Astyanax mexicanus: one gene and its partner. The protein of the gene in region 2 interacts with the protein of the main gene of each other region in a biochemical or structural test. Links are inferred from orthologs where the notes say so. Each region holds a gene or a part of one and is shown on either strand. Other genes may lie near its edges. The genes, in order: SLAM family member 9-like and inpp5d.

Region 1 (16,785 bases), on a different chromosome or scaffold from region 2:
ACAGGGTGGACGTGTGCATGACAGGAAATGAAAAGTAAAAATATAAAGCGACTGAGTGATAAATTTGTCAGATGTTGAAAATGTGAAACAGCAGTGAACCTTCATAGAAGTGGGCGGCCAGCAAAAATTACACCAAGAGCACAGCGACGACTCATCCAAAAGGTCAGAAAAAAAGGTCGATTGCCTCAGTTAAGGGGTAAAAATGGAAACCAATGCTAAGCAAAAAGAACATTAAGACTCAATTTATGACTAGGACTAATGAAACAAAAGTGGAACTTATTGGAAGGTGCGTCTCCCGTTACATCTGGTGTAAAACTATAAACTAACACATAATTTCAGAAAAAAAGAACATCATACCTACAAACACATAAAACATGGTGGTGGTAGTATGATGGTCTGGAGCAGCTGAAAAACTTGCTGTGATGAATGGAACCATTCATTCCACTGTCTACCAAAAAGTCATGAAATGAACTTGGGTTCTGCAGCAGGACAATGACCCAAAACACACCAACAAGTTCACCTCTGATTGGCTGAAGAGATACACTACACTGCAAAAAAATCTGTTGGCAACACTAGACAAAATATATGTAAATTGAGACGCAAATGCCCTAAATGAGTAAAGTAAGACTTAAATCAAGCCAAAATTCCTCATTTTGTGGGTTAAATTTATATAGAGAAAAATCTGAATAACTTGACTCAGTAACAGTAAAGCAATCTTACAAAAACAATGCTTATTAAGTCAAAAATTCTTCTCAGAGAAAAATATATCATTTCACTTGCTAAGATTTTATTTTTTTTTTGCAGTGTAGTTAAACTCCTAACCTGAATCCTTTTGAGATTACTACATTTCTCTAAATAATATTGAAATAAAATTCTCCACAGTGCTGTGAAAGACTCACTGTGAGTCACTGCAAATGCATAGTGGAACAACCAGTTATTAGATTTATAAAAAAATAAAATAAATAAAAATCTTCATTTAAAAAATACTGTATTTTGTGTTTGACTAATATTTAAATTATTTTGATGTTCTTAAACATTGAAGAGTCAAACATGCAAAAAGAAGAAGAAGAAGAAGTAGAAGAATCATGAAGGGGTAAAAAGACATTTTTCACCCCGCTGTGTTTAAACCTCAGCCTGGTGTTGCTACAGCAGATGGTGGGCTACAGGAACAGGAAACCCTAAACCGACGCTGCACAGAGTGAGTCAGAGCCGCGTCGTGAGTGTGAGTTCACTAATATCAGTAGTTATTCTGTGTAATTGTGCTCTGTCTTCATTTGAACACAAAATGACGAAGAGTTCTGCTTAAATCACTAAAGATCATTAAAGAGGATGTTTATATTTAATCATTTGAATTAAAACAATCACTGTGTTTAATGAAGCGTAAAACCTGTGTGAAATCTGCTGTCCAAACTATTTATTTCATCTAATAGTGTAGAAAAACAAATTGTGTTTCTTCACAATTTGATCAAAATTGATCAAAAAAGTCTTAATGGTCAAAGTTTACTTTGATTACTTACTTTCTTTTCTGATGATCTGAATGTATACAATTTATACATTTCCTTTAATATTGTGCAAAATACAAAAATACATATTTTCTTATTGATGGCTTCTAGAACATCTGGGCTATAAGTACTATAAAGCATAATGAATAAATCTACTGTATTTGGTGAAGTGGTTGGAACACAGTTTTGACCTTATATAGTCACAGCAGTGTCTTCAGAAGCCTCTGTTCCTCCTGCTCTCTGTCTCTCACAGTGAACTTTAGTCACCGGACCCCGATTTCCCACAATGCACCTCACAAAACGTCTTACAAACAGTGTGTAACACATTATTACGCATATAGAGGAATATTAATCTTTACTTTAAATACTTTATATACATTTTACACAGTTTTCTGTGGTGTGGTGGTGGTTAAATAACCAAAGGGTTTTTTTTTGCACAAGATGGTCGCAATGCTCTTTGCTATCTTACACCCCGTCAACAGTCTATTTTCATGCCTTGCCCCCTTGCTGTTAAAATAGCGTCAGAGTTTAGGAATGTATCTACACTGATGATATGAGGTGTGGTGGTCTGGAAGTGAGGTGTGTTCAGGTAAATTGCTGGAGTGTTTTTATCTTGGTAGTGTGAAGTACAAGTGCGCCACGGACTGATTAAAACCCTGACAACTGTCAACAGTCAGAGTCCAATCCTATCTTCACTGCAAAAAATCCATTGGCAAAAAATTGACAAGCTATATGCAAAATTTTCTTAAATGAGCTGCTAGTGTATCTTCACTGTTAAAATGCGAACGCGCCAAAGTCAGAGCTCACCTGCTCTTAAAGGGAGTGACTACTGACACACTGATTTGTGGTTTATTTCACATTACACCCAAAATTAACCACACTCAGGATTAATTAAGAGAATTAGTACATGCCTTTTGCGCATTTCAAGCTGTTAAAGTCATGTAAAATCGTTTTCATATCACCAAAATTTACAGATAATTAGAGACTAAAAAGCAAAAAAATTGAGATAAAAAGCAATACCTTTCATCTTTTTTTTGCAAAAGTAGGCGATACCCAGGACAATCAGAATCAACAGAACTCCCACGACACCAATCAAGACGTACAACAGCCAATTCCACTCCTTCTGCGGGTCCCCGGGTGGGTTCTCTAATAGGAGAGAAAGGTTGGTGATGATGATACAGAAGAAATACGGTTTAATTTAAATAAAGAGGGATGTGTTTGGTCGAGTATGTGTGTACCTCCAGAATCACAGCTTTGTAATGTTATTTTCTCCTGCTTCCAGCTGACTGGGTTGCTCAGGTTACAGATAATGAGGCTGTCTTTGATTGACAGGAAGAGGGCGACGCCTCCAGGTGATGTCACGTTCTTCTCCTCACAGGTTGTATTATAACAGGTGGTGTTAATCCAGAGGTCGTGACCTCTGCAGGTGAGGGTGATGTTACAGGAGTCAGCACTTTTATAGAGAGTCAGAACTGGAGGCTCCACTGGATCTGAGGTACACACACACACGAGTTACTGAGCTGCTAATAAACAGATAATAAAAGCATTACATCATTACATAATCACCAACGGTTACCAATAACAACAACATGCTTTTATACTGTATTTAGCTGTCTAATCTACATTTAAAATAATCAGCATAATTATCTTCATTAATTTTTAATTTTTTATAATAGGCATTATATAGCCTGTAACTCTCTTTAGTGTGCATGAACGTCTACGCATAAAACATCCACAGACACACATCCAAAAAAATAAGACCTACGATCAGGTTTAAAAAAATATTTTTCCAATACAAATAAATCTTTGATTAAATGGTCTAATATCAATTTAAAGATCTTCAGATTAGTATTTTAAAATGTTTCTATTTTGTACAAAAGCAAAGCCATAATAATAGTAATTAAAAATGCAAATGTATTGAATTCATTCTTTATGTAAAGTTTAATGTTTTTAATAATGGTAAGTTCAGGTCTCTTTTTTCATATCCAAACAAAACCTCCTACTGTAACTGAAATATCACTAAATTAATCAATATGGAATGAAATCGGGAATTGAATTGAGAAGTTGAATCAGTAGTGCCTCCCAGCCCTAAAACTACTTCATAAATAATACATTTGCATGAAAAACAGCCTCAAAATTCTAGCATTAACCATTAACTGAAAGAAACTTCAAAAAGTCATGATGCAAAAACTGCAAATGTGCAGCAAGGAAAAAAAAATACATACATTCGTATTTGGATGTTCTAACAAATCAGTCAGATGTGTATCCAATAAAGAAACACATGTAATTGGTGTATGGAATTATGTTGGCTCTTGACCTCCAGAAATGTTTCAATAACATACTACAGTATTTTCTGGGATTTTTTATGTAAATAATAAAATAGGGGAATATTAAAACCCCATGAAAACACTGCTAGACTAAATAAGAAACAAATCATATTTTGGTAAGTAGAGTGGTATGGTTTGGTTGGGCACCTCTAATAATTTGTCATATTTTTGTACTTGATTTTCTGTATAAATGCCTTAGTGCTTTAGTAGATTAAGAGCAGTGTTTAGTGTTTAGTGATTAGGGTTGTTGTCTTGTTAAAGTATCCAGCCCCGGCACTTCAACTTCAACTTTTCTCACTGATTCTTCAACATTGTTCTGAAGAATCTGCTGATTTTGACTGGAATCCATGATCAGTACCTGCACTGATCCCACCAAACCCCCACAGCATGATGGAACCGGCACTAATTTTACTGTGGGGAGCAGTAACGTGTTGGAAGTTGGAATGCTGTGATCTTTTTTCACCAATTTTAGCTTCATCAGTCCACTGAACCTAATCCCAAAATGAAGCTGTTCATCTAAATGTGCTGTTAGCTTTAGCATACCTGAAGCGACTCTGTTTGTGTGCAAAGTGAGCTGAATAGTGAATAGTGAATAGTGAACGATGAACAGTGACTCTATTATCTGCAGCAGTAAGATGATGATGATGTTATAGATGTTGGAGTTGGTCTGGAGGTCTGTAGGTTCACTATAACTGTTCTCTCCATCCTTCTCCTCTGATTATCTGAGATTTTTCTTGTTCTGCAGCTTCAGATCTTTATCTAGAACTGAGTCTGTGGTTCTTCCACTTCCTCACTCTGTTCCTCACAGTGAAAACTGGATCATTTCACTTTTCAAATATCACTGGGTTCATCTGCTATATGGTATATTTAACTGAAATAACTGATCTGAACAACCAGTGATTTATAAAGGAAAATCCTGAACATTATATGGGGTGCCCTTCATAATGATACAATACATTTGGAAAAACAGCCCTACTTAAGGCTCATACATAAAACTTAGACATGAAAAGATTGCCAAGCTCAAAATCATACTAAATAAATTCAAACGATTTGTTTCATACCTAGATAAAAGAGAAAAATCCCTCAAAAAGTACAAAGCTCTTACCCCACACAGTGAGATTATACTGAGCAACAGTTGTTTCTGTTTGACTGCGCGTTATCGCTTCATACAGTCCACTATCAGTCTTCTGTAGATTCTTCAGAGTCAGACTGTAGGTTTCCTCATTAAACTCCACTCTGTCTTTATAAGGGTCATGCTTAATAATTTTACCTTTAGAAATATATCTCAGAACATTATTATTATTGTGTTTCCAGATAAAGGAAGAAAATGTCTGTTCTTTAATCTGAACGTCCAGCTGTACAGAATCTCCAACCTGCACAGACACATCACTGGATCCTGCAGAGAAAGAAGAAAGATAAAACCACTAGGGTTATTTTCTGGTGAATTTGTACTTGCCATCTTCAATAAAATGCAGAGAATATATAGTATGAGGTCAAGCCTATCAAAACCTTTACTTGTTGAAGTACATGTCGTTATACTGAGTTTAAGGTATACATTATTACTAATCCTTTCCAAAAAGAAAGATCAATGAGAGGTATTAAGAGTCAAGTGGTGCTCTGTTATCTCTCTTTTATGGTGGGAAGAAACCGATATCAATCAACAATCAATAGCCTTAAACTAATCTGTGTTTATGTAATATAATAATATAATCAGTTCCATGTGGGGTATGTATGGGTAGCCCATTTGAAAACCAGATTTTTTTTTCCATGGGTCCTATGTTGCCCCATTGGTTGTGTTAATACAAATCAGCCATTGCTGAAATTCTTACATAAAGCTGCACCATTGCACAAAGCAGAAATTGCTAGCTGGACCAAAAGATAGGTTTTTAAATATCTTGTTGAAGAATTGAGGTGAAAAAAGCAAAACGAGGCCAAATTGAGCAGTAATGTGAGCTAAAACACAACTATGAAATTTTCTTGGGCCCAATTCCCTTAGTGAAAAACAATAAAAAAGTAAAAGTATTTGCCGTTTAAAAGCTGGTAAAAGACAGTAAAAGCTGAATTATTGTGTGGACCAATCCAGAGTTAACCAGATTGTGTTCAAATGCAGGAAATTCAGTTTAATTATCACCCTCTGAACGTGGTGTATTAGTCCACAAGCTCACAAACACAGAACTTCTAAACAACTGAAGGCCTTTCTCCCATTCAGAAGTGTTAGAGGCATTTTTAATGTGGGAGGGGGCACACTGGAGGGGGGGGGGGTGGGGTAGGAAGTTTGGTCTAGGGGACTTTGGGGGGGTGGTGTTCTAGGGTTCTTACACTTTTTCCTTTTCTCTCACTCTTTTATTTGTTCTCTCTCACTCACATTTGTTCTCTTTATACCTCCGATACCTCCGACTTTTTTTCAAAATATCAAGTCTAAATGATATGCGCTTGGTGGGAACTACTTTTTCTTCCGCCTGGGTCAGTGAATAATGCGTAAGTAGCAGTGTTGGGTACGTTACTTTGAAAAAGTAGTTAGTTACAGTTACTAAAAAAAAAGTCACTGCACTAAAAAAAATTAGTTACCAGTAAAAGTAACTATTGCGTTACTATTGCGTTATGTCAATTTTTGTATTCAAAATATGTGTCTATTGTTATGTACAAACAGTCTAATCTGCTTTAACTGTTAAATTAACATATTTAAATTGTCAGCTACTATTGTGGCATTTCTTTATTCATTTAAACTAAAAATTAGTTTGTATTCTCTTATCGTAGGCTATTTGGAGAGACTACATTCATAGTTGAATCTAAATAGGATTAAGCACTCAGAAAACCCCAATCATACTTCCAAGTTTATCATAAATTAATAAATAATTTGGATACCTTGTATTATTTATGAAGCTATGATTTGAAACACACAAGATTTTATGAGTTACCACACATTTTTCTCAGTATCTGATTGGAAAGACATTCAGTGGTATCCAACATCACTAACTCTTCTTCTCTCTCTCACTCTCTTGCTGTTGATCTCTCTCTCTCTCTCTCTTTCTCTCTCACGCTCCTAACCCCGCCCCCTCAGGCTTTTGATTGATGGGCAACTGAACCAATCACTGTGCAGCAACTAAAAGGCTATAAAACAATAAAACAAACAAGGACAAAACAGATAATCCACATATTCTGCAGTGATTGTATTTCTAAATGACATTAATTGAAATTAGCCTTAAGCAATTATCATTTGCTTGTTTTTTCATTCATACTGTACATCCTCTATTTTAAAACACATTACGATTCTATTCAACATCCCGATGCACAACAGCCTCTATGGAAGATTTTTTAAATATATATTTGCATACACTTTTCTACATCAGACTTTTCCCATAGTACATGTATTAGTGCTTAGCTGCTTAGAGCTTCAGTGTTCTCCTTGTTCCTGCATGGATTTTCTCCCACAGTCCAAAATCAGGGAGATCAGTTTTATTTTTTACTCTAATATTGACCTAATGGGAATACATTTTTTTTTGTCTGTATGCCATAGAAACTCTACACCAGGAAGGGACTTGAACCCAGGACCCTATTACTGAGAGGCAGACCTGCTAATCACTAAGCTACCATGCCACCCAATTGTTTTAGCTCTTTGGCCCTATAAGTCTTACTATTTCCTGTACAGTGCCACCTGGGAAAGAGCTGATCACTTATACACAGTTATGGGAAAAGACTGTTGTAGAAAAGTGTATGCAATTATTAAAAACTGGATAAAATGGAGCTAAAACTGAAGGTAGTAAATGGACATGGAAATGCTGAATTAATGAGTTCTGCAGCAACTTTAAACACTTTAATTATAACTACATGTGCTCCTACTAGGTTTGAATAAATAACCTATAGCTACCTTTGTTAATTAGTACATTTAAATTTTTTATCCAACCCAGCTGGCATTTCAATGTTCAATTAATGTTGATTAATGTTGATGTGATGGTTGAATCAACGTTGATTTTAAAAAGTGAATCCACGTTGATATATGCAACGTTGTTTCAACGCCATACGTTCTACTTTTAATGAACCATAGCTCATTAAAAGGAGACAATCCTATTGCAGTTAGTGCAAATGGAAATAAAACACTTTTTAATTCCTCCATCCAACCGTTTTTAGAAATTATATGGTAATAAAATGTAAAATGCTGACATTATGTTGGTTCAACGTTAAAACTTCAACATTTGCACAACCATTTAACATTAAATGTTGATTCAACTTTGTTTCAACATTGAAACAACAACAGACATTAATTTAGTTATATTTTAACCACACTTTAATGTTGAAGGTCGGTTGTGTGCCAGCTGGGTACTCTCACTCATAACAGGTACATTTAAAAAAAATAAAATAATAAAACCTAAAAAATGACAGAACACGGTCATTAAATCTCTAGAGTGGATTTAGATTAAGCTGCACCGCAGACATTTGTGTGACCGAACAATGCAGAGTAAAAATGAAACTAAAGGTGGGCTTTCTGAGGGGCGGTTTTCTGCAGTGTTCCATTTTAAACTGGAAGATCTCAGTAGAAAAAAAAGTGTGAAGATCAAAAGCTTTCAGAACGCTGAACCGTGAGAAATACCCATCTCAGTAAAACATCACATTCTAGCAGCTTTTCTCTTCACTATTTAAATTTTAAACTGTTTAAAATCTCATTTTCAACACAATATTATACATAACAATCAAAATCACAAGTTACAAATTATTAAAAAGTTTGTGTTCGTTTTACAGAAGTTTAATTCAGCTCAGATTTTTCAGTAGTTTGATGAAGATCACACAGTTAAACTGAAGTAAAAGTGAAAGACTGTATAAAAGATCAGAATATACTTTATCTTACCGGTAATTACGATGAAAACGCAGAGAAGGGAGATCAGCTGTGTTACCCTCGCCATCATGCTGCATATGAGCTACTTCCTGTTCAGAGGAGGAAGTAGTGTGAAGGAGGAGGGAGGCATTTTAAACTGATTTTTTTTCATGAAAATTTCCGTAGTTTTTAATGTTTGTGACATTAGTTGGGGAATATCGTATTCAACTGAGCTCTGGATAGCACTCTGAACTTCTGCTCCAAACTGACTGATACTTTAAACTATAAAATGACATTAAACTGTAAAGTTTTAAAAGCTTTTCTGTTACTTGTAAAACTTAAAATAAAGAGATAGAAACAGAGAAAATTGCTGTTCAGGAAACAAAATAGTGATGATTACGCTGCATTAAAATATATACAACGTAGTTCAGCCACTGTCTAAACATACAAAAGTATTACAATAATCACAGCACTTATAAAAAGGGTCACAGATTGACTCTTTAGACACAAAAAACACCATATGGGTCTTACAGGCCAGGAGGCTCATTTATGTCTCTTGCATTTTGTTGTACTGAAGGTAAAATATTAAACAAATCTGCTAGAGATGGAGTTGAAATATTAGATTATTAAAATGCAAAACAGCCTGAGGAAATGTTTCACATTCAAACAGATTATTTCCATTTGAACAGAGAAAATTATCTTGTGGTTTAATATTTATATTGTGATATCATATTTATTATTATATCATATTATATTTTTAAGGTCCAAGCACGTCGTTTTTTGTCTGGTTTTTTTCTTCGTATTATTATTATTATTATTATTATTATTAGGGGTTCGAGCACGCAGTGTTAGGAACCCTATTGTTCTGATTATTATTATTATTATTATTATTATTATTATTATTATTATTATTATTATTCTTTTTCTGCCATAGAAGTGATTGGGCAGAAGAAACCGTAAGGCCTACAGGGCTGAGACTTGGTCATATGGTAGTACTTCTCACCGCTACTCAGATTAAAAAAATGAGCCAGATCGGCCTCAAGGGGGCAAAGGTCAATGCATTAGGCCTTGTAACTCCCACGCCCTGATAGCTAGAGCAAAAATTATTTCATTAATTGATTCTGTGGTTTATGGCAAATCCAAAAAGTAAATAGAAACACTAAGCTCCGCCCACTTAGATTTTTTGCTATTTAGCATATACTGACATGTTTGGTGTCAAACAACTCAGCAGAGTGTGAACCTCAATAATTATTGAAAAAATCTTTAAATTTTTACACAGTATGGCCGCCATATGCAAATTGGTGTTACCATGGCACACCCACATTTACTCTAACAGCTGTAACTTTTGAATGATTAAACCGACACTAATGCCACTTTAGATCTTTGATGCCAACATGATTCTGAGGTAGCCTGTCAATCTGTGAAGACATACGCCCCCAGGGGGCGGAGCCAAAGCTAAAAATCTGTTTCTCAGGAACCATACAAGCTATCAAGCTCTCGTTTGGTAGTTATAATCTATGGCCTATGTCCTATTGGTATACTGAAGGAAATGTTGATATGAACATTTTTGCGATCGCTATTAGCCAATCAGTTTCAGCAAGCTTTTGACAGGCTAAACAATGACCAAACAGGGCGATACTTATACCCTACATGTATATGAGGGCCTTTTATCACCCATACAGCAATATGTTTTGAGCCTAACTGGCCTTAAGGGGCCTCTTTGCCTGTGCTGCTCAGACCTCGTAAATCGCCGCTTGCGGCTATATTTATTATTATTATTCTATTACATAAAAATTAATGTTATATAGAATGTACTGTAACATTATATTACATTATATAAAAGTCTACTTCGCGAGACAGAGAGACCTTACTAACCACAGCTCCCTTTCTCTGGCGAATGTCACAAAAAAAGTTATCTGTGATTAAAAGGCTCATAAAAATATTAATCAACAATAATATTTATGTATATTACTTAAATGTTAATATAATTGTCACGGCCTCGCTCTGGTCCCCTGTGTTTCTCCTGTAATTTTCCATCACGTGTGTCTAATTTGTAGCTCCGCCCCTTCCCCAGATGTTCAGTGTTTCATGTTCCTATGTATAGTACACTTTAGTTCATGTTTATCCGTCGTTCTTTGCACCTTCCCGTGTTGTTTGTCTCGCCACTTTTATGTTATAGCTGATTTCTTGTTCCTTGGTTATTTGTATTTTCATGCTTTTGTTTATTTCTAGTCACGTTCATTTCCTGTTTGTTTCATTCTTTGTTTTGTACATATTCACGTATTTATCCCTGTATATATCCCTAACCCTGTTTGTTATTTTCTATTTTTTGTTACTCCCTGTTTGTTTGTTTATGTACATATATATATATATATATATGCCGAAGAGGGGGGGGTAACTGTTGGGGCTATCGGCTTCGATACTAACCGCGGGGGTGGCAAGGTGGGCAGCAACGTGGGCTGTGAGGACCCCTACTTCTGGGATTACGTGGACCTCCTCGCAGCAGCATCCAGTTCGGAGGAAGAGTAATACCCTCTGATGCGAGCCCGCTTGCCGCTTCCTCCGGGGGCTGTCCTGCAGCCGAATTTCTACGTCACGGAGCGATCTCCAAAAGCGCCGGTCCTCAAGACGCCGCCTCCCGCCACCCGCCTCCCGCCTCCCAGGGCGCCCTCTGTCTCGGCGGCAGTTCAGCTAGCTTCAGCAGCTAACCAGCTAGCATCTCCGGCGGCTGCAGCTCCAAGCTTCTCCACGGCTACGCGGCTAACTCAGTTAGCATCCCCTGCTACCACGGCTCATCTCTCTCCGGCTGCAGCGGCGCCCGCTTCTCCGACGACTTTAGACCCAGCTTCCATGGCGGCTGCTGAGCAGCGCTTCAAGTCACATGCGGCAGCAGCATATCTTCGTTCCAGGGTTTCCATGGAAACGGCGCTACACTCCCCTGCCCCGGAACCTGAATATGCTGCGGTGAATTCAAGTCAAGTGCTCTCTCCAGCAGCCCAAGTCTCCACGCAGACACCTACTGCCCAAGGGTCCAAGTCTGTTCACGTGAGTGGTCCTTTGTGCCCACCGCCAATGTTCCTGTGTCAGCGGTGCCCACCGCCAATGTTCCTATGTCAGCGGTGCCCACCTCCAATGTTCCTGTGCCAGCGGTGCCCACCGCCAATGTTCCTGTGCCAGCGGTGCCCACCGTCCATGCTCCGATGTCAGTGGTGCCCATCGCCAAAGTTCCTGTGTCTGCGGTGCCCACCGCCAATGTTCCAGTGCCGGCGGTGCCCACCGCCAATGTTTCTGTGCCAGCAGTGCCCACCGCCAATGTTCCTGTGCCAGCGGTGCCCACCGTCCATGCTTCAATGCCAGCGGTGCCCACCGCCAATGTTCCTGTGCCAGAGGTGCCCTCTGCCCATGTGCTGATGCCACTGGTGCCCACCGTCTATGCTCCTGTGGCAGCGGTGCCTACCACTCCAGCGCCGACGCCAGCGATGCTTGTCGTCACGCCGCCATCCCCAGCTGCTCAATTCGCCGCGCTGTCAGCTCCAGCTGCCCGAGATGCCGCACTGCCAGTTCCTGCTGCCTGAGCCGCCGCACCGCCAGCTCCTGCTGCCCGAGTCGCCGCGCCGTCAGCTCCAGCTGCTCGAGATACCGCACCGCCAGTTCCTACTGTCCGAGTCACCGCACCGTCAGCTCTTGCTGCCCGAGACGCCGCACTGCCAGCTCTTGCTGCCCAAGACGCCGCACCGCCACCAACTCCTGCTGCCCGAGTTGCCGCGCCTCCAGCTCCAGCTGCCTAAGCCGTCGCGTCGCCATGGTGGTCCTTCACCACACCCACGCCGGTTCCTGCACCCAGGACTAAGTTCCGCCCCAAGCCCCGTGTGCCCAGGTCTGCCCCAAGGCCCCCGGATTTCAGCCCAAAAACTTTGCCCAGGCTGGCTAGAACTACCCCTCTGACTTTAGCCAGTCCTGGGCATCCCCAGGTCTTTCTTGTCCCCATGTCTCTTCCTGTTCTGGTCCCCGTGTCTGTCTATGTTCCTGTTCCTGTCTTGTCTGGTTTTTCTGTGCCTGTTCCTGTCACCGTCTTTGTGTCTGTTCCTGTCAATGTTTTTGTTCCCGTTCGTCCCATGTCTAGTCCTGTCCAGTCACCTGTCATGTCTCACGTCCAGTCATCGTCCCCCTGTCCAGTTTCCCGTCCAGTCTCCGGTATCGCCCATGTCCAGTCCTGTCCAGTCACCTGTCATGTCTCACATCCAGTCATCGTCCCCTGTCCAGTTTCCTGTCCAGTCTCCTGTCTCGCCCAATGTCCAGTCTCCAGTCACGTCCTCGGTCCAGTCTCCTTTCTTTGTCCAGTCTCCTGTCTTGTCTTCAGTTCAATGTCTTTTTATGTCAAGTCCCCGGTCTCGTCTCTTGTTTTTCCCGGCCCCTCCACGCCGCCGGCCCCCGGGGTTTGGTTTTACGCGCCTCGGGAGCTGCACGATTAGGGAGGGGCTTCTGTCACGACCTCGCTCTGCTCCCCTGTGTTTCTCCTGTAATTTTCCATCACGTGTGTCCAATTTGTAGCTCCACCCCTTCCCCAGGTGTTCAGTGTTTCATGTTCCTATATATAGTACACTTTAGTCCATATTTATCAGTCGGTCTTTGCACCTTCCCATGTTGTCTGTCTTGCCACGTTTACGTTATAGCTGATTTCACGTTCCTGGGTTAGCTAAATAAAAAAGCTGGTTAGCTAACTTAACAATCTGGTTAGCTAAATAAACAAGCTGATTAGCTAACTTAACAAGCTGGTTAGCTAAATAAATAAGCTGGTTAGATAACTAAACAAGCTGGTTAGCTAAATAAACAAGCTGGTTAGATAACTAAACAAGCTGGTTAGCTAAATAAACAAGCTGGTTAGATAACTAAACAAGCTGGTTAGCTAAATAAACAAGCTGGTTAGCTAAATAAACAAGCTGGTTAGATAACTAAACAAGCTGGTTAGCTAAATAAACAAGCTGGTTAGCTAAATAAACAAGCTGGTTAGATAACTAAACAAGCTGGTTAGCTAAATAAACAAGCTGGTTAGATAACTAAACAAGCTGGTTAGCTACATAAACAAGCTGGTTAGATACATAAACAAGCTGGTTAGCTACATAAACAAGCTGGTTAGATACATAAACAAGCTGGTTAGCTACATAAACAAGCTGGTTAGCTAAATAAATAAGCTGGTTAGCTAACTAAACAAGCTGGTTAGATACATAAACAAGCTGGTTAGCTACATAAACAAGCTGGTTAGATAACTAAACAAGCTGGTTAGCTACATAAACAAGCTGGTTAGATACATAAACAAGCTGGTTAGCTACATAAACAAGCTGGTTAGATACATAAACAAGCTGGTTAGCTACATAAACAAGCTGGTTAGCTAAATAAATAAGCTGGTTAGCTAACTAAACAAGCTGGTTAGATACATAAACAAGCTGGTTAGCTACATAAACAAGCTGGTTAGATAACTAAACAAGCTGGTTAGCTACATAAACAAGCTGGTTAGATACATAAACAAGCTGGTTAGCTAAATAAATAAGCTGGTTAGCTAAATAAATAAGCTGGTTAGCTAAATAAATAAGCTGGTTAGCTAACTAAACAAGCTGGTTAGCTAACTAAACAAGCTGGTTAGCTACATAAACAAGCTGGTTAGATACATAAACAAGCTGGTTAGCTAACTAAACAAGCTGGTTAGCTAAATAAATAAGCTGGTTAGCTAACTAAACAAGCTGGTTAGCTACATAAACAAGCTGGTTAGATACATAAACAAGCTGGTTAGCTAACTAAACAAGCTGGTTAGCTAAATAAATAAGCTGGTTAGCTAAATAAATAAGCTGGTTAGCTAACTAAACAAGCTGGTTAGCTAACTAAACAAGCTGGTTAGCTACATAAATAAGCTGGATTGATAACTAAACAAGCTGGTTAGCTAAATAAACAAGCTGGTTAGTGTTAGTGTAGAAAAGAAAATGAAAGGTGGGCTACCCCCACCTCTCGTCCGGGGTACAACTCCCCTGCGTGTTCGTTTGATAGAGAGAGTCGCAGACAGGTGGAGTGAAGCTGAAAGCAAACCAAGTATTTATTACAAAGTACTGAATATTCAGGAGAACCCACACATGAAAGACCGTCTAACAGCCGTCCCAGCATAAGTTCTGACCCCCCTCTGATCTGACTCCATGTTTATACCCCAAATGACGTGAAACCTGCTGATGAGGCGTTGCTAAAATCATCTCATGTTAGCATGCGTAATTTCACGTGTTAGTAATCCGTTTCACGTGTCTGACCGGACCATCAGTGTTTGGCCTTGACTGTATTCTTCCAGAATGGAACATCGTGGCACTATCTGTGTGTGTGCGTCACCCCCCGCTTTGAAGCAGAGGTTTTTAGGCAGGCACTCACTCACCAAAAGGCCGCTTTGATCTAAGAGCCTTTTCTGTAGCAATTTAGCCCCGTACCAGTCGAGTTGATGACCGTTAGTTAGGGTCATGCAGTCAACAAAATACTTCAAGCCTGAGCTACATCTCATATGTTATATGTTAATGTGTTAGTAACGCGTGGTTAGTCCGCCATATAATAAATCCTATGTGTTAGTAAATGCCTTATGTATCGTGTGGGTTAATTTGTCATATAATAGAGTCTGTGTTAGTCACATGCCTGATCAAACAATGTTTTACTATATATGTAAAGAGTATATTGTGAGTATTGGTTAATCTTCTATATAAATGCGTGTAAAATACACTGTGAGTAAAAATGATCAAATACAATGTGAGTATTGGTTAATGCATATAGAATACAAGGTTTCACACAATGATTATGTAATTATAGATACTAAGATAAGTAATCATAACTGAAAGATATTTGTCAATCAACCCAAAGTATAATAAACAGTTACTCTTCATTAGATAACTAAACAAGCTGGTTAGATAACTAAACAAGCTGGTTAGCCAAAAGTTCGTAACTTACGGCCGAAGTTCTCTGGTGTTACGCCGAAAACAGTTCCCTGCTAATCTCTGCAGCGGTGCCGGGAGTTCAGTTCACCCCGCTGTAGCATTAGCTTAAAGTTAGCATTTTTCTTACGACCCTTAAACGATCTCGAAATTCAGAGGATACGGTGATGTTCAGGAGTAAAATGTACACAGAATAAAGCGTACAGGGGTCTGAACAGATTTATTTACCACAGAATTTGACAGAGGCAGATTTTTAAAAACCCCATCATTTTTCTCATAGGGAAAAAACGCTTAGACACAGAAGCCGTAGGAGCGCTACAGAATGACGAACGACTTCAGTGGTCCAGTACCAGAGGAACATATTTTCGTTTCTTATATTGGGTTTGTTCATCTCACTTCTGAAAATTCACCAAAATCTATAATTGAAAGGGATTTTTAAAATAAATTCTCCTAGGTGATCATACCCCTGGACCCCACTTGACATTAATGATATTGATTATACACAGGCTGTTTACAAGTTAAAAGTTTTTAAAAAAGTGTTGAAGTGCTTTATGTCTGTCTCTGTTTTATCTAAACAAAGTTATGATTTCTCAAATTTGGAATTGGGTTTATTGATTTCTCAAAGTGAACTGTTCTTATTAATATTTGCCTCTATTCAGCCTCTGTGATTGGCTGGGCAGTATTAGGCGTGGGCTGAAAGCGAGAGTTGTGATTCTATCCTTCTATTCATTTACTCCTCTTCTCTCCACTCCTCTTCTTCCAGGGAAGGAAAGAATGAATAACAAAAGTTTCTGGACTTTTTTACAACACGCCCATTTTTCCCTTAAGAAAAAAAAACATTTTAGTATTGTTAAAAAAAAACTGTAGTAGTAAAGCTGTAGTGGTGGAACAGATGGAGTTACTGCTGTTATTCTCTACTGCAGCTGCATTTACACATTTACAGCACATTCACACTTTTATCATCATAATAACTAGAAAAAAAACTAGATAAAACACAGAGAACTCTGTAACTATTAAAAGTAGAAGTTCTTTCTTTTCTTTAGAGAAATTACAGATGAAATCAGAGAGTGGTGAGTACTGTTTCTACACCTTCAAATAAAGACTCTTAGAAACTGGAGTTAAAAACTGCTACAGGAAGACGTCTGGCTGACCCACATGGAAACAGCAGCTTTAGCCTTTAGCTCAGATTAACA
Region 2 (16,017 bases):
AGGAACTCCTTCAAGACGCTGAAAAACTATTCCAGCTGATTCTCCCTCATGAAGACACTGAGATTAAAATACCAAGAGTGTACAGATCTGTCCTGAACAATAAAAATGTGCTACTTAGAAGAATCTAAATTGTAAAACATATTCTGGTTTACATGTGTTCCTGTAGAACTTTAAGGTTTTCAATATCAAATTTACAATGTAAAAAATCATAAAAAGAAAAAAAAAACATTGAATGAGAAGAGGTGGGTCCAAAGGTCTGAATGGTACTGTATGTAGGGATGCACCGATGTGGTAATTCTGGGCCAAAGCCGATATGTATCAATATTACAAATATGTATATTTTCCGATGCCGATACCTATATCTGATATACACTTAAATAACTTACAAATAGATTAGACACACTGGTATATGTTTAGAAATAAATGTAATATTTATATGTCTTATATTTTACCTTTCAATCAACTATATGCAACCAATATAATAAAAGGTTTCTCCAGAGAAATTTGTTTTCACATTTTTTTTGTTTCATATTTATGTAGCTAATTGGTAACATACCTTACGTAGACTGATCACAGTTTTTAACCTTCTATAGTAAATGAACAGGTTAAATAAAATTATCAAGCTATTAACACTGTTAAATAAAAATAAATAAAAATGAGCTTGAATCAATGAATTTGAAAGTTTTCGGTTTGTATTAATGCAGCCAGCATTGCTTAGTCTTTTTTCCACATACAATAAATACATCAATAAGTATCGGTTTGAAATACTGTACAAAATAATGGCAATTATTAAAAAAAAAATGGTTTCAATATTTCAATTTCAATATAGCTAGTGTTCCAATATATGTCAAGCTGTTTTATAATGGCACCACTGATACAAGTCCCAACTCAGTTTTAAAACTAAAAAAATGACATCTCTGATAGACGTTTGACTAGTAGAAACTCTTACTTCAGATATCATCTATAAAATGTTTACTAGTAATAATATCAGATCCACATATCTATAAATTCTTTATAACTAGTATTAGTTTACCACTGATTTACATGGAATTTCTCTTATCTTTTGGGTCCTGTACGAATGACTAAAACTATTACAAATGCTAAAGATATCTCTATTTAGTTCTGACAAGTAATGTGCATTTAGGATATGTACCGTTTATCTGCATAACATAATTGTAGAATTCTAGAGAATTTTGGATAGGAATTGTAATGTTGTTTTTACTTGTCAGAATTAGGAGTCGAGATTACACAATTTCTACTAGTAATAAAGTGGATTTTATTAATAAAATGTAATTATAATTTACTGAGCATTACAGGCATGCTGAACATGATATTTTACTAGTATAGATTAAGTTATTACTGGTATCACTGGCATCATTTTACTTTAAAAGTAAATTAATATTTAAATATGAATAATCTAGCATTGCTTAACTTCTGTACCTTTGGTTACTGTTGTGTCTGTTAGAAGTTAATGAATGGATGGATATAGTTTAATACAAATTATAAAGAGAACCATATGTTCATTTCACACATTCATGATGAACAGACTTATCCTTCAGTCCTCCTCCTCCTTTAACTTAACCCCCTTATCTATAACTCTCTAGTGATGCTCTTGTTCACTAAACCATGATTTTTTTTAAAGGTTAATGTTTACATGAATTAAGGGTATATATGAAGTGAATATGAACATTGTCAGCTGATGCAACTTTTCATTTATTCTACTAACAAAACGTGTCAACTTGGAAGTATATGAATTATTATTTAACTTGAATGTTTCAACTTTTGGCAGAAAAAGAAAAAACTTATTCATGCATTAATTTGACTTTGCAACATATAGTATATTGTATCTGATATCTAACCATCTAACCATATAAAATTCATTTTCTACCAATATAAAATCAAGCATGTATTCTCATTATGTAATAGCCATTGTTTTCTTTGTAATGGATCATTTGTATTGTGTTGTATTGTATGTATTGTATTGTATCTTATGCCTGTCATTTCACTCATGACCTGCTTTCACTTTTTATGTAAATGTAAGAAAAAAGAATGATAATTTCTTCATATTCATATTTTAATTTTCATGTATCTTTAGTTCTAATTCTAATATTAGGGCTAGAATAATGTACCACACTTTGTTTTATGTATTATATTATATACTGCCAACGTACGGTGCTATGCAATTCTAATTATGCCTTTTGCTAAAATTTGTCTTATATATTATGTCTTATATATTAAATCACCTCAATGTGCTTATTGTTTGTGAAAGGCTGATTATACACTATTTATTATTCTTTATCTCTGGGTGTGATGTTATGGGCTTTCGTGTTGTTGTATTTCAGTATTGCTTGTATGATACGTGCTAGATGCACTGTTTTGCCAATATATTTGTAATCATGGTGTAAATTAAACTCTTCTGTATTTTTACGTTGTGTTTGCTTTGATACTAATGCTTGCGGGTACATTTGTATTATGTAAAGTTTAGTTTTGCCAAGTAATACAAATATGTCAGGTTCCACCTTACATTCCATAGTTTATTTTATATACAGAAACCTAAGCTCATAACTCAAAACCATTTTCTTAGTAATTAGAGAGTTTTATCTGAAAGAAACACAATATATTAACGAATAAACTTAAATACAGTAAAAAAATTATGAAAAATTTACCTTTTTAAGACTGGAGCTCATATCCTATCAGCTAGTCTGAAGGTTAAAGTTTGGTTCCAGATTTATCCTGGATGCTCTGCCCTCAGCCAGCACCCCCAGTGAATGTGGATCCCATCAGCAGCTAACCTAATTTACCATCATTAAGCTCTGATATACCATACAGCTGCTGATATGATCAGAATATAAATAATACAAGACTCTATGAAGAGTAATTCTTTTTCTGACAACTTTTTAATTCTACTCCATACATGTTCACACAATTATCTGAACTTTCTACTCCTTACATTGTAAAAATAGCCTCCTATTACTCCTATGTCATTTCAGCTTGTTTCCATTCTGGCTCATCATCATAAAAAATCCCTATCCAGATGAATCTCTTCATCCAGATAGAGTGAATCTGATTGTGGTTGGATGTAGAGAAGTATAAACAGATACCATTCTGATATGCTGTTGGTTTAAATATGATCCATCACACCAGAACACATCACGCCCCCCACACTCCAGCAGACGTATCCTTGTATGAAGATGTCAATAGCAGCAAAATGTCCCAACTGTATTTGTCTGAAACAGGTTGCCTAGTGCATTCCAAAGTTTTCAAAGAAGTATTTTAAACTCTAGTATTTAAACTTATACCTGAGTAATTAGGATTGCCACCCATCCCGTAAAATACGGAATCGTTCCTTATTTGGCAACTAAATATTGCGTTCCGTATTGAACCAATGGCATCAAATCAAATCGTTTTACTGTCTTATCACAGTTATACAGTTGTAGAGGTAAAGGTAACACTTTATAATACTGTTCCATAGTTAATAGGTAACTAAGTAGGAACTAAGCAGTAACTAATTAATAGTGCTGCATTAACACCTAAATATTTGAAAGTTCTCCAGAAGGCATCTAAGACTCTAAGAATGACTGTAAGACTAATAATGTAACAATCATTGCTTTAATACTAGGTATCAGCCTTATAAAAGTGCATCTTCAGCGTTTGCAGTCTCACAGAGATTTATTTTTACTGCGCATTATTAGGGCAATTACGGTAATTTCACAGCGGACGCAGCTCTCCAGGGGCCTTATTTATAAAACTCTGCGTAGGTTCTGGAGTGAGAGTGTGCGTACGCACAAAAAACAGGAAATGGCGTTAAAAAAGCGTTAATGGCGAAATGGCGTTTAAAAAGTGTGCGTACGCACACCTGAACGCAGTTTCCTCTTTATAAATCACAATCTGCTTATAAATGTGCGCAGCTGACCAAGCCTCGCGCTCCGCCTCCGTACCGCCCACATTTACCCATAAAAGGTCCATGCAAATCACCCAATGAATAATTAAATGAGTGATTCCCCATTCATTCTGATCGGGATGATGGAGGAACGCAAAGCAAAGAAGCGCAATTTTGGAGATTGTGACGTGGAAGTCCTTGTTTCAGAGGTTGAGGCAAGGAAGGATGTGTTGTTTGGTGGCCTTAGTAGTGGCATTACCAACAAACGCAAGTTTGTTGAGTGGCAGCATGTGGCTGCAGCAGTAAACAATGTGAGCTCCACAAGCCGAACTATTGCAGAGGTAAAGAAAAAGTGGTCAGATTTAAAAGTCAACGCAAAGAAGCAAATTGCTTTGCACAGAAAAAAATTAACTGCAACTGTAATCAAGTAATGCCAAATTACTTAATTAATTACTCAAGTAATGCCAAGAGCGCCATTATAACAGACAGTGCCTCACTATTTTCTGCCTATTTATAGAGCTGTTATTTTATGCAATTAGGTACAGCTGTTTATGATCGTAATTATCTGCAACTATTACAAGCCCTTAACACTTTCCTCTCTATTTATTATAGAGTATAATTTGTTGCAATAATAATAATAATAATAATAATAATAATAATAATAATAATAATATTTATATATATATATATATATATATATATATATATATATATATATATATATATATATATATAGCACCTTTAGATTTTACAACTGTGAGATTAAACAGATAATACAAATAAAACTGAAATAAACTACAAAGCGAAATATACAAGTTAGTGGAAAATTAACACTACATATACATATAATACAGAATAAGATACAGAAATAATTTTAACTATACATGCAGAAAAAAAATATTGAAACAATTAGGTTAAATGTGTGTTAGTTAGCAAGCTAAGTTAGCTAGGGGAAATGTGTGTGTGTTAGCTAGGTTAATTGTGTTAGCTAGTTTAAATGTGTGTGTTAGTTAACTAGGTTAAATGTGTGTGTGTTAGTTAGCTAGGTTAAATGTGTGTTATTATTATTATTATTATTATTATTATTATTATTATTAATGTATATTTCCCTTTATAATACTGTGACATGATCTGCAGTAACTCCTAAAGAAGAACACAGTAACTCCTCAGAAATTAGTAATTAGTTAACATGTTTCTCACTTTATAATACTGTGGTATGATCTACAGTAACTCCTAAAGAAGAACACAGTAACTCCTCAGTCATTAGTAATGGGTTACCATGTGCTGCTGTTAACTCCTGAAAAAAGAAGACAGGGACCCCTTATTAATTATCTATGAAGAACACAGGGATGCCTAGTTCGTTATCTAACACAAATATTTATTCATTTAAACATGATTTCCCCCAGAATAAGGATGTAGGACACAACCTACAGTAAAGCTGTATGTGAGCCATCACTTCTACTGAGCACATCTCCAGGAGGACTGAAGAAGAGCACAGGTTTAGAATAAACACCTGTAACACACTGACAGAACATTACAAAAATGGGGGTTAAGCAGACTACTGCACATTTCAGTGTGTCTAACATTTGGAAGATATTGAGGATACTACGGTAAGTAAGGTTAATATATGATAGGTGGTGTCACTGACTTTAATATCACCACTGATAGAATAACCTGCAGCAGCAGATAAACACACTGATAGAGGCTAGCGGTCCGGCGCTGTGGAATTACCGTAATTACCCTAATAATGGGCGCTAAAAGTCTGTGAGACTGCAAGGCTAAAGATGAACGTGTATAAGGTTGGTGTTGAAAATTAAAGCAGTGACCATTAAAACAAAATTGAGTACAGTCAGTCTTAGAGTCTTCTGGAGAACATAAATAATGTCTACTCTGTAATAATATTACGTTATAAAGTTATTTTTTCTTTCAAAAATGGGGTTTAAGCAGATTACGACACACTGTAGTATTTTACTATATGTTGCTAATATTTGGTAATAAGATAATGATGATAATAAGGTGATTAATGTTACTACTACTACAAATGGTGTCACTCAAATATGCCTTTAATATCACCACTGATAGAATAATTGTTTGTGTAGACTGATTTAGATCTATAGTTCCCCAGGTGGCATGTAAGGGTTTTCAGTAGTTAATGTTGATTTGAGCAGTAATTAATAAGTAGTTATTATAAAGAAGACATAATTAGTAAGTAGTTCTTCAGGAGATATGTAAGTCTCAGTAATTATTGTGAAGTTAATAGTGAACTACTATAATCATTAGTTTAGTACTATCTACTGAGTAATTATCCAGTACTCCCTGGTAGTTAATAGAAAATATTTAGGTGTTAATGCAGCACTATTAATTAGTTACTGCTTAGTTACTGCTTAGTTACGTATTAACTATGGAACAGTATTATAAAGTGTTACCGAGGTAAATGACAATCTTGGGCGCCAGATCCATTATAGTAGAACACAATAAATACAAACAGAAATATAAAAATTTTCACACATAACATTAGAAATGCTAATGCATACAAGCTACTGGAGTGAATAATGAATATGGCCTGGGCTTACTGGACATGCTGGTAGACTGCACATTTATTGGCTTAAACAGAGTCCCAGTAGTCAATATTGTGTGTGTGTGTGTGTGTGTGTTTGAGTGGGTCACACTAGGGGGTAGAGTCAGGCAGTGTATGTATGGAGGTGAAAGAGTGCCCAGTGTTAACGTGATGCATCACATGAACACTTACAGAGGGACAATCAGCAGAACATTCACGCTTTCAGTCCCACTCAATCTGTCTCCTCAATGCTGTAACAGATCATGTGACCTGTCTCACATTAACAGCCTAAAAAAGTTTGTTCATTTTTAATTTACTACGCCATTTGAATACAGCAGTTTTACAACACCTATTTAATTTTGAGTAGACCAATAGAAATGCTTTAATATTTTTAAAGGTCTCATTCCATCTTTTTTTCATTCATTTTAAAATGTCTAGTTGTGGTCTCTAGTACGAATATGCAATGTGAGCCCTTTATTGAGAAAAAAAGGGCTCAGGTGTTTCTATTTAGCCCTGCTTTAGATCACTGAATTAGAGGTCTCTGAAGAAAGACTAACAGCACTGCAGCAGAGAATACCTAGCTGCCTTACCCCCACTGTCAATTTTACAGCTTTAAAACTCAAAGGACAAAATGTTTTCAGAGATACAGCCTTAGTTATAAAGATATAGCAGTGAGTGCTAGATAAAGTTAACTCTTAAACTTCACTTTTGCAAATAGAGACTGCCCGTCATGATAGCGTTCTCCCCGCAATTAACCTCCTACCCACGGCAGCAACGCCACTATCTCTGCTGCAGTGTGAATAACCCCCTACCCACGGCCGCAACGCGACTATTCCTGCGACAGGGGGAATAATTCTCTACCTGTGGCAACGCAAATAACCCCCTATCCGAGATGTCACTATGCCCACGGCAGCACGATTACCCCCGCCACCCTCCCAGTGCCATTGATTAAGTTTCTTTCAGCTTCACTAACGCTACTAAACTCTTACCTCAGACTTGGTGATTCGGTGCATGGGCAGTTTCACCACAGGACAGCCCCAGTTTCTGCTTTATATGATAAAATCTGATGCAAATGGTGCCCGCTTTGACCCCCTACCTGCAGCAGCGAGAATAACCCCCTACCCGCGGCAGCAAGAATAACCCCCTACCCGCAGCAGTGTGAATAACCCCCTACCTGCAGCAGCCATGCTGCTTTTCTCGCGGCAGAGTGATTCCCCCACCACCCTCACCCTCCCCCCTCCCAGCCTGACCGCGTTATTGATAATGTTTCTTTCAGCTAAACTAATGCTACTAAACTCTTACCTCAGACTTGGTGATTCGGTGCTTGGGCAGTTTCACCACGTCGAAGCCCCAGAGTCCGCTCCATATAATAAAATCGGACCTGAACGGAGCCCGCTTTCACAGTGTAAACTCCTGTAAACTGACCTAAAGATACTCGTATAGAGATACACTGCCTGGGCAAAAAAGGTAATTCATACACTGGCACACATTTGCTGTGGCATAGTTTCCACAAGCTCCTGCAATGTCACAATATTTATTTCTGTTGGGAGTTTTATTAAATTGTCCCCAAGATCTTTTATTGGTGGTGGGAGATTTGGAGTCTTTTCCAATAGATTCCAAATATTCTCAATGGGGTTCAGCATAGCCACATAAAGTGTACTTTTTTAAAGTATATTGTATGTATTTTGTATGTAGCTCAAGCTAACTTTTATTATATTAAAATATAACAAAATGCATTTGGTCAGAAGAAATGAGCATGTGAGAGAGAGAGTGGCAGGATGGAAACAGTTTTATTTTCATGTGATTCATACTGTGGACTGTCAGTAGATAGTTCCTGTCTAGCTCTCACACTTTCTTTCTCACTGTTCATTTCTCTTTCTATGCCTCACAACCTCTGTTTCTCTCTCATCCTCTCTCTCTCACACACACACACACACACACACACACACTGTTTTCAGCCACAGCATAAGCCACATTCGGCTTACATTCTTGACACTGATTGGTGTGTAGAAGGCCGTGCTGCGTAAGGCAGTGGCATGTTGTCATTCCGGGGAGTTGCCTTTGCAGGTGTTGTGCCAAATTCTGCCCCCTGTCAGAGTTTGACTCAATGCTTTGAGTGCAGGTATATCCCACAACAGAATTAGCATTCCAGATTGCCCTCAGATTCCTTTTATTTTTGTTTATTATTAGGGTTAATCTACAGTTACTGTAATAGGTTGATGATAGCCTGGCTCTAATAGATAGATTTTGTGTAACTGGTCCAGGGAAGTCTGAGCCATCTAAAAAATAACATTTTACACTGTACCATGGATCAGTTGATCTGGACTGGGACCACCATATTTGATTGGACCACAGTTTGGTTCTTTGGTCAGGAGCATGGTTTGTGACATCTTTCCCCACTGCAATTTTGGTTTGGACCAAGAGTTTAGAGTTTGCTATGCTACAGAAATGCTAGACTTAAGCACTCATGAATAGATGCAGGCAGTTTTTGAGTCACAGTTTGTGAGTTTTTTGTAGGCCGGGCCGTTGTTGTTGTATGCAAAGGTTACATGAGATGGGTGAATATATTTTGCATGTAGAGTAAATATGAAATATTATGCTACAGTGTGTGCAACCCTGCAAACATCAGAACTTCAAAGCTACTGCACATACTATTATGCTATATGTGTTATACTGTAGCTCAGTGGACATATGGCACATTCTCTGTATTCACTTTCGGTATTTACTTAACTTGGTTAACTGCTAGGGTAACATACAAACCACTGTACCTGTACTGCTGTTGTGTGACCATACGAGCAGCCAGCCGCTCTCTGGCCTTCCTCTCGCCCTCCCTCTCTCTCTCTCTGACTTGTGCATGCAGAATGAGGAAGTTCACTCTCGCGTTTGTGGCAGCTTCCTTTTTACAGCTTTCGCCTTTAACAGGAAGAGAGACCCAGAGACAGAGAGAGAGAGTCAGCAAGAGAGAGAGAGACACATAGAAAGAGAAGAAACAGCACTCTGATGCAAACAGCGCCATGAAACGGGCCTTGAAGCGACACTGAGTGCGGCCTGTCGTCCCACGGAGCGGCTCCTGAAGCCCAAACACCAGTGATCAGGTGGTGGTCTGCAGAGCAAGCTGTAAAGGAAGCGACCGGGTGGACAGGATGTCATCCCACCAGCCGTGGTACCATGGCAATATCACCCGTTCCACCGCCGAGGACCTGCTGTCCAAAGCAGCAAAGGATGGCAGCTTCCTCCTCAGAGACAGCGAGTCCATACAAGGAGCTTATGCCCTCTGTGTGCTGTGAGTACTACAGTTCAGTTAATCCAATTACAATTATGCTTGTGCTATATCAAATTCCTGGACCAGTTGAAATAACTGAACTGATATACGGCAGTTCCAACCAGTTTAGAGCTTTTCTTTCCTGTTCTTACTTATAGTTCATAGACACTTTCGCTGTAGCTGTAATGGAGAAAACACAGCAAGGCCATTGATGCAGAAGCCCAGTTCTTTGCATGCCCTGTCAGTTATGTAAATTCGGGCATAACAACATGAACTGGAGACCAGAGATGCATTCACTGGCTCTTCTCTGTCTGTTTTCCATTAGCTGGGTTCAAATCAGGAACTCAAAACTAGTCGTCAGCTGCTTCTAGGACTGATTAGCTCAGGGGGTTTCAGTACTTTAACATGAAAAGCAAAGCATGCAGTAGCTGTAGAGGTTCTCAAAAGTGATGGACGTACAGCTAACTCAAGACTGTATGATTTATCGTATTTTCTGTAGATTAGCTTTTTGTCTTGCATGCAGAATACACTATGCTTTGTTAGATGTGCTCATGCAAATGCTGTCTACTAACAGAACATGTCTGCAGTAGCCTCTTATGTTAAAATGTTTAATATCACATAAATTACGACTACACAGAATATTGATTCTGCATTGTAATCGCTTTTTCCCCATGACATTTCTTCCAAAAATAGATATTGACTTAATAATACTTTTACTCAAATCTAAAATCTATAGAGTGTTTTATAATATCATGATTTGTGTTGTGTTACAAATAATATAATTTCATACGAAAGTCTATGTAACATTTATTATATTTATTGAGCTGCTCAATATGAAAAGAAACAGTTATATATAATGAGAAATTAAAAAATACATACATTTTTACCCGATTTTATTTTAGAAGCTAATGATCCAACACTCTGTGTATCGACAGGTAGTGTTTTGTAAATAATAATAATAATATATAATCTGCATCTGGTAGAAATGTCATTGAAAATGAGAATTGTGTGAATTTTCATTTAGCATCAAGCAGCAAAGAATTAACATAATGTGGTTGATTCAATTTGAATGTGATGTGACACTGCACTTCCTACAATGACACATATATTTCGGTGACAATGGTTTAAAAAAAAAATGTGCAGTCTTAATTATTTATACAGTCGATTAATGTAATGTAGTGTGTAATTGTAATGATGAGTGTATAGTAGAGTGATTATAATATTCTAATCTGGATACAAGATGAGATTGAGATGGTTGGGTATGGAGGTGTACAGGTTCTGTATGGATACTGCAGCACATTTACCCACAGATGATGCTACAGCTGGGCCTGTAGATCCTGCTCTACACTCGTAGGTTACTAAAGCTGTGTCCCATCTGATCCCGTAAATGCTGGATTGGTGATAAATCTGGAGACTGGTTAGTACAAGGAAGAGTTAAAATCTGTTGGAGACATTCCTGGGAAACTCTTGCTGTGTGTGGATGAGCATTATCCTGCTGAAAAATGCTATTAGTTGAAACCCTGTCATGGGAGGTAACATGTGTCGTCAGAATGTCTGTTACATATTTCTGAGCTGTTAGTGTTCCTCATATCACTACTGGGGTGACCGACTGTTGTATCTGATGCTCCCCGGATCATCGTATTAGCAGTTTGGGACAATGTGTCACTCCACAGCAAAGCAAGATTGGAATGCTCACCATGAGGTCTCCATACTCAAAACTGATTATAGAAAATCAGTGGGATGCCATTATATAAATCCCATTCATCTGAAATTTCTAAATTCCATTGATTATTATGCATCTTATTAGCTGTGACTCCTAAAAGGTTTGTTTGCTATGCAGGTACCAGAACTGCGTCTACACCTACAGAATTCTACCCAATGAAGAAAAGAAACTCTCTGTACAGGTAAGATGTAGAATGTAGAAATGAACTGCACTCTATATTTAACTGAAGCTGAACTGGAAACTGTAGGGATCTGAATAAAAGCCTGATGAATCACTAGTCTCAGTTCTCACCTTTGGCCTACCTGCTCTGATGGGATTTCTCATTTACTTTTCCAGTTATGAGGCATGGTGAATGTGTTGACCTGACCAAAACATTTTCGTAAATCATAGCAATTTACCATATAACATGAGTCAATATCTTAGCACATTTTATTACAACGACAAGCAATGTGATAACTGTGTGTTATTTGCTGAAAATAACAATGCTGTGAAATTTAAACCACAGTTAACTCATATCTGTTTTTTGGAAATATAGCATCAAAATTCACACTATCGTAGGGCTCCGAGTGGTCCAGCGGGCTAAGCCACTATGATTGGGAGATTGTTGGTTCGAATCCTGTTCGTGTAGCTTGCCATTGCCTACCAGAGCCCAGATAGAGCACAATTGGCCTTGCTCTTTCTGGGCGGATGAATGGCACTCTCTCCCTACATCATTCCAAAGGGCAAATTTGGCAATGCTGCATCAGCAGCAGTTTGAAAAGAGGTGGTGGCTGACTTTACATGTACCGGAGGAGGCATGTGCTAGTCTTCACCCTCCTTGTGTTGTGACATCACTAGTAATAGAGGGAGTCCTAATGAGTGTGTTGAGTAATTTGTAAATTGGGGAGAAATAAAAAAAATAAATAAATAAAAAAAAATCACACTATCGTTTAGCTGCAGGTTGAATTTGATTGCAGCTGTGCCATCAGCATATGATAGACTGGGAACCACATTCATATAATATATACACTCATCATCACAAATATACTGTACTGTAGTTGCACCCAGAAAGAAGTGTGGCATTTTGGTGCTATTCAGAACGAAGGTGAAATTTACTAAGAATAAAAAATTATTATGAATTTAAACTGATATGGGTAATATTTATTAAGTTACATACTGATGACTTATACTGAAGTTGTGTGTAACGCACGCGTAATAAAACTTCATGGGCTTACAGTGGTTCCTAATGGAGTCCTGAAATAATCTATTCAGGTCTGGAGATGCAGTTGACCATGGCATAGTAGCTTAAAGGCAGGCTCTAGAGGTGGTAGCAGTGTTGACTTGTTGGAATAGTGCACAAGAGTGTGGGTTTAGAAAAGGTTGGACTGTCAAAGTTCTTGTAATGAAGACTGGAGGTGATCTGTCATTGTACGAATTTGCACTGTAGACCATGACAGCAGGCCTTCTGGACTTGTAATGTGTAAAAACATACTGTTGCCTCCACACACGGATTTGTTGGTCATCTCCACCAAAACAAATGTACTTCAGGGACTCGTCAGTAAAGAAAACCTGCTGCGTTAACAACACCATTGATGGCATTGCATGGTGTTAAGAGCAGTTATTATTATGGTCTGTGTGCATATAGTCCTGCATATAGTATCCACTGACTTGAGTCACTAAGCGCTTGTCGGACAAGTTATCGTTTTTTGCACTTTGTAGCTGGTGCAGATCTCCCTGATCCTTTATATCTCTAGTAGTACATGACTTCTTCTATCCACTGATACCCAGAGCAACTTTTCTTTGAGGTTTAATACCTCACCTTAATACCTCAATCGATGCACCAACACAACACCACAAGTCAGAATAGAAAAATGTGCAACAGGAGGACCTTATTTAGTCAGTCACTTACAGTGATTAGCCCTTTCTTGCTTATGTCACATGCACATACACACTCTCATATACTAAAAGGCATTGGACAGAACTAGTGTTGAGTCCCATGAATTTTGCCATGTCCCATGGAAGCTAAAGAACTCTGGATTGAACTGTGGGATATATATGTTTGGGGTTTCCTGCATTATATGTGGATGTGATATCTTCCAGAGTCGTTTGTCTGTTCACATGGACAATTCTAACCTAAAACCGCTGGTCACCATCCTTACCACGCACTGCACTGTCCACTGTAGGTGGTAACAATATTATCTGGCAATACGATGTTAGAAATGACACAAAGATTGAATAAAAACGCAGAGATGCATCTGGTAAATGAGATTTTAATAGAATCTAACGCTATTGTTAACCTGATTGTGGAAACGTATTTATTGATATCATTGTAAGCCCAGGTGTATTTTCAGTAAAGGCCCATCGTAGATGACATGCAAATATCTACTGTTGTCTCTTGAGTTGCTTGGTTAACACAGTTGCATAGTTGCATCAGTGGCATTAATGGCATTAGTGGAATCGGACACCCAGCATCCTAAACCATTAGCAGCTGGGCTAACGCTGAACTTTTTTCTCATGCCTGTTGTCAGTTCAGCTGATTGTAGAAACTTATTTCCTAATATTAGTGTAAATCCAGGTGTATTTTCAGTAAAGACCCATCATAGATGACATGCAAATATCTACCGTTGTCTCTTGAGTTGCTTGGTAAACACAGTTGCATTAGACATGCAGTGTTCTAAAACCATTAGCGGTTTGGTTAAGGCTGAGTTTTTTTTTCTTATGGCTGTTGTCAGTTCAGCTGCTGCAGACGTTCTATAGATGGCATGTGGGTGTTCATTCTCTTTAGGCAGAACCCATTCTCCACCCTGCGTTACAGACACAGGGCTAACGGCGCGCTAGCACGCTAATGCAGCTGCAACACCACTTGTTGTTTTCATTCAAACTCCTCAGACTTGGAGCTGTGCTAGCCAGCTGCTAAACACATGATAACACCTCACAACAAGGAACAAAGACAATGAATAGGTCCTCAGATTGACTTCATATTTAATTAACAAGGTCAATACATATTACTTAATATGATTAATTTATTCGATTTTTATATCATAAATGTGCCGGATTTATCAGAACCCAGGTTGGACTGATACACAAATATGTTTTGTGGTAAACCATTGACTAGTACTAAATTTACTCACTAAAAAAAAAAAAAAGATAAAAAAGAAACATTAATTAGACATTCATTAAAACATATTGGACAAAAACAAATACAAAAATAATATTATTATTAAAATATTACAATTATGCAAATGATTTAACTTTTTATCTTATAAGTTTGAAGTTTGTTTATATACTATTTCAATCAGCTTGTATATGTTGTATATGGTAGAATGATGGTATTCAAGAACCATCATACTGCCTCTTTATTTCCCTCTGCCTCTAAAATTCATGAGTATTTTAAAATTAGAGCTTCATGCCATCGGAGGAACATGACCTTGGTGGGGGGAAAAAACACTCCGCTTAGATTAGAAGTTATTGGGAAATTCTTTAATAAGCTTTAATATAAAATTTCAAGAACAGCCTATCTTTATACTGATGAACTAAATATGGTTGGACTACCTCAGTGTCCCAAATCAGTGTGTCACTTGCCATTCCCTTTAAGAGCCAGGTGCGCTCTGGCTTTGGCAGATTGGTATTTTAATGGCGCAGCTACCTGGAAATACCAATAATTCTTAGTAAAGGAAACTGACCTTCTTGTTCATGCTGTGAAGATGCACAAGCAGGTAATTTAAGTAATATGAAAATAATGCAGATTTTGTTATTTCTATTCTGTATTTTGTTTATTATTGATGTAAAAGTTTGCATAGCTGGCAAAAGGGGGGCCTCGGATGTTTACAGTCAGTGGCACACCTGTGTATTCTGTTGCCAAGATAGCAATATGCCAGAAATTTACCTGAACAAATTTAATTTCCAGAACACTACACCCATCAGTGGAGATATTTTCAAAATCAGATTTTCGGTTGATATTTAAACGACACAGGCGGAAGGCGTAAAAATAGGCTGTTGGCGGGGTGTAAGATAGCAATGAGCATCGTGAAACACTTTGTGCAGGGTGTACGATAGGGCCTTTAATCTCTGTTTGGAATTGGATATCAGTAGACTTCATAAATTAACTCTTTTAACTACCTCTCTTTTAAAATGTCTGTTGTACGCATAATTCTGGATGCTAATAGGAAAACATAAGGATTGCTACATTTAATTTCAGTGCGTATAATTAAGCATGTAAGTTTTTGTTGCCAATGTATTGGCCTAGAAATAGTATTGATAATTGACAAAATAATGAAATAAATGTCAATGTTAGAAATATTTCAAAATGTATAAATAATTAAACAAATATGTTAATAGGCCCTCCTTGCTAAGAGGTCATGTTTGTATATTAAACATAAATAAGTTGATTATTTAATCATTGTAAAAGACCTAACTTAACCTATATCATCTGCATACATATGGACAACAACACCAGAAAAACAGGTGTCTGGAAGGTCCTTAACTTAGAAAACAAATATCAGTGGGCCTAAAATTGAGCCCAACCTCATAACCAATGTTTCTAGATGTATTGTATCTATAAATTATACCCATTTTGAACATCTTGTACAGAGTGCAATTCTTTAAAGTGCACTAAA

What was found.
Region 1: the proteins of inpp5d (region 2) and SLAM family member 9-like interact in a biophysical measurement, tested with the Homo sapiens proteins (2 studies listed by IntAct). The link is inferred for Astyanax mexicanus from reciprocal best matches to the Homo sapiens genes INPP5D and CD244.

The regions. Positions count from the first base shown.
Region 1 is NC_064411.1:1,560,533-1,577,317, forward strand, and holds the start of SLAM family member 9-like, read right to left. Parts: upstream 8,795-16,785; 5' UTR 8,731-8,794; coding exon 8,673-8,730; intron 5,226-8,672; coding exon 4,935-5,225; intron 2,993-4,934; coding exon 2,741-2,992; intron 2,649-2,740; coding exon 2,523-2,648; intron 1-2,522. UniProt on the Homo sapiens protein: Heterophilic receptor of the signaling lymphocytic activation molecule (SLAM) family; its ligand is CD48.
Region 2 is NC_064412.1:48,003,289-48,019,305, reverse strand, and holds the start of inpp5d (phosphatidylinositol 3,4,5-trisphosphate 5-phosphatase 1), read left to right. Parts: upstream 1-9,276; 5' UTR 9,277-9,580; coding exon 9,581-9,720; intron 9,721-11,539; coding exon 11,540-11,603; intron 11,604-16,017. UniProt on the Homo sapiens protein: Phosphatidylinositol (PtdIns) phosphatase that specifically hydrolyzes the 5-phosphate of phosphatidylinositol-3,4,5-trisphosphate (PtdIns(3,4,5)P3) to produce PtdIns(3,4)P2, thereby negatively regulating the PI3K (phosphoinositide 3-kinase) pathways.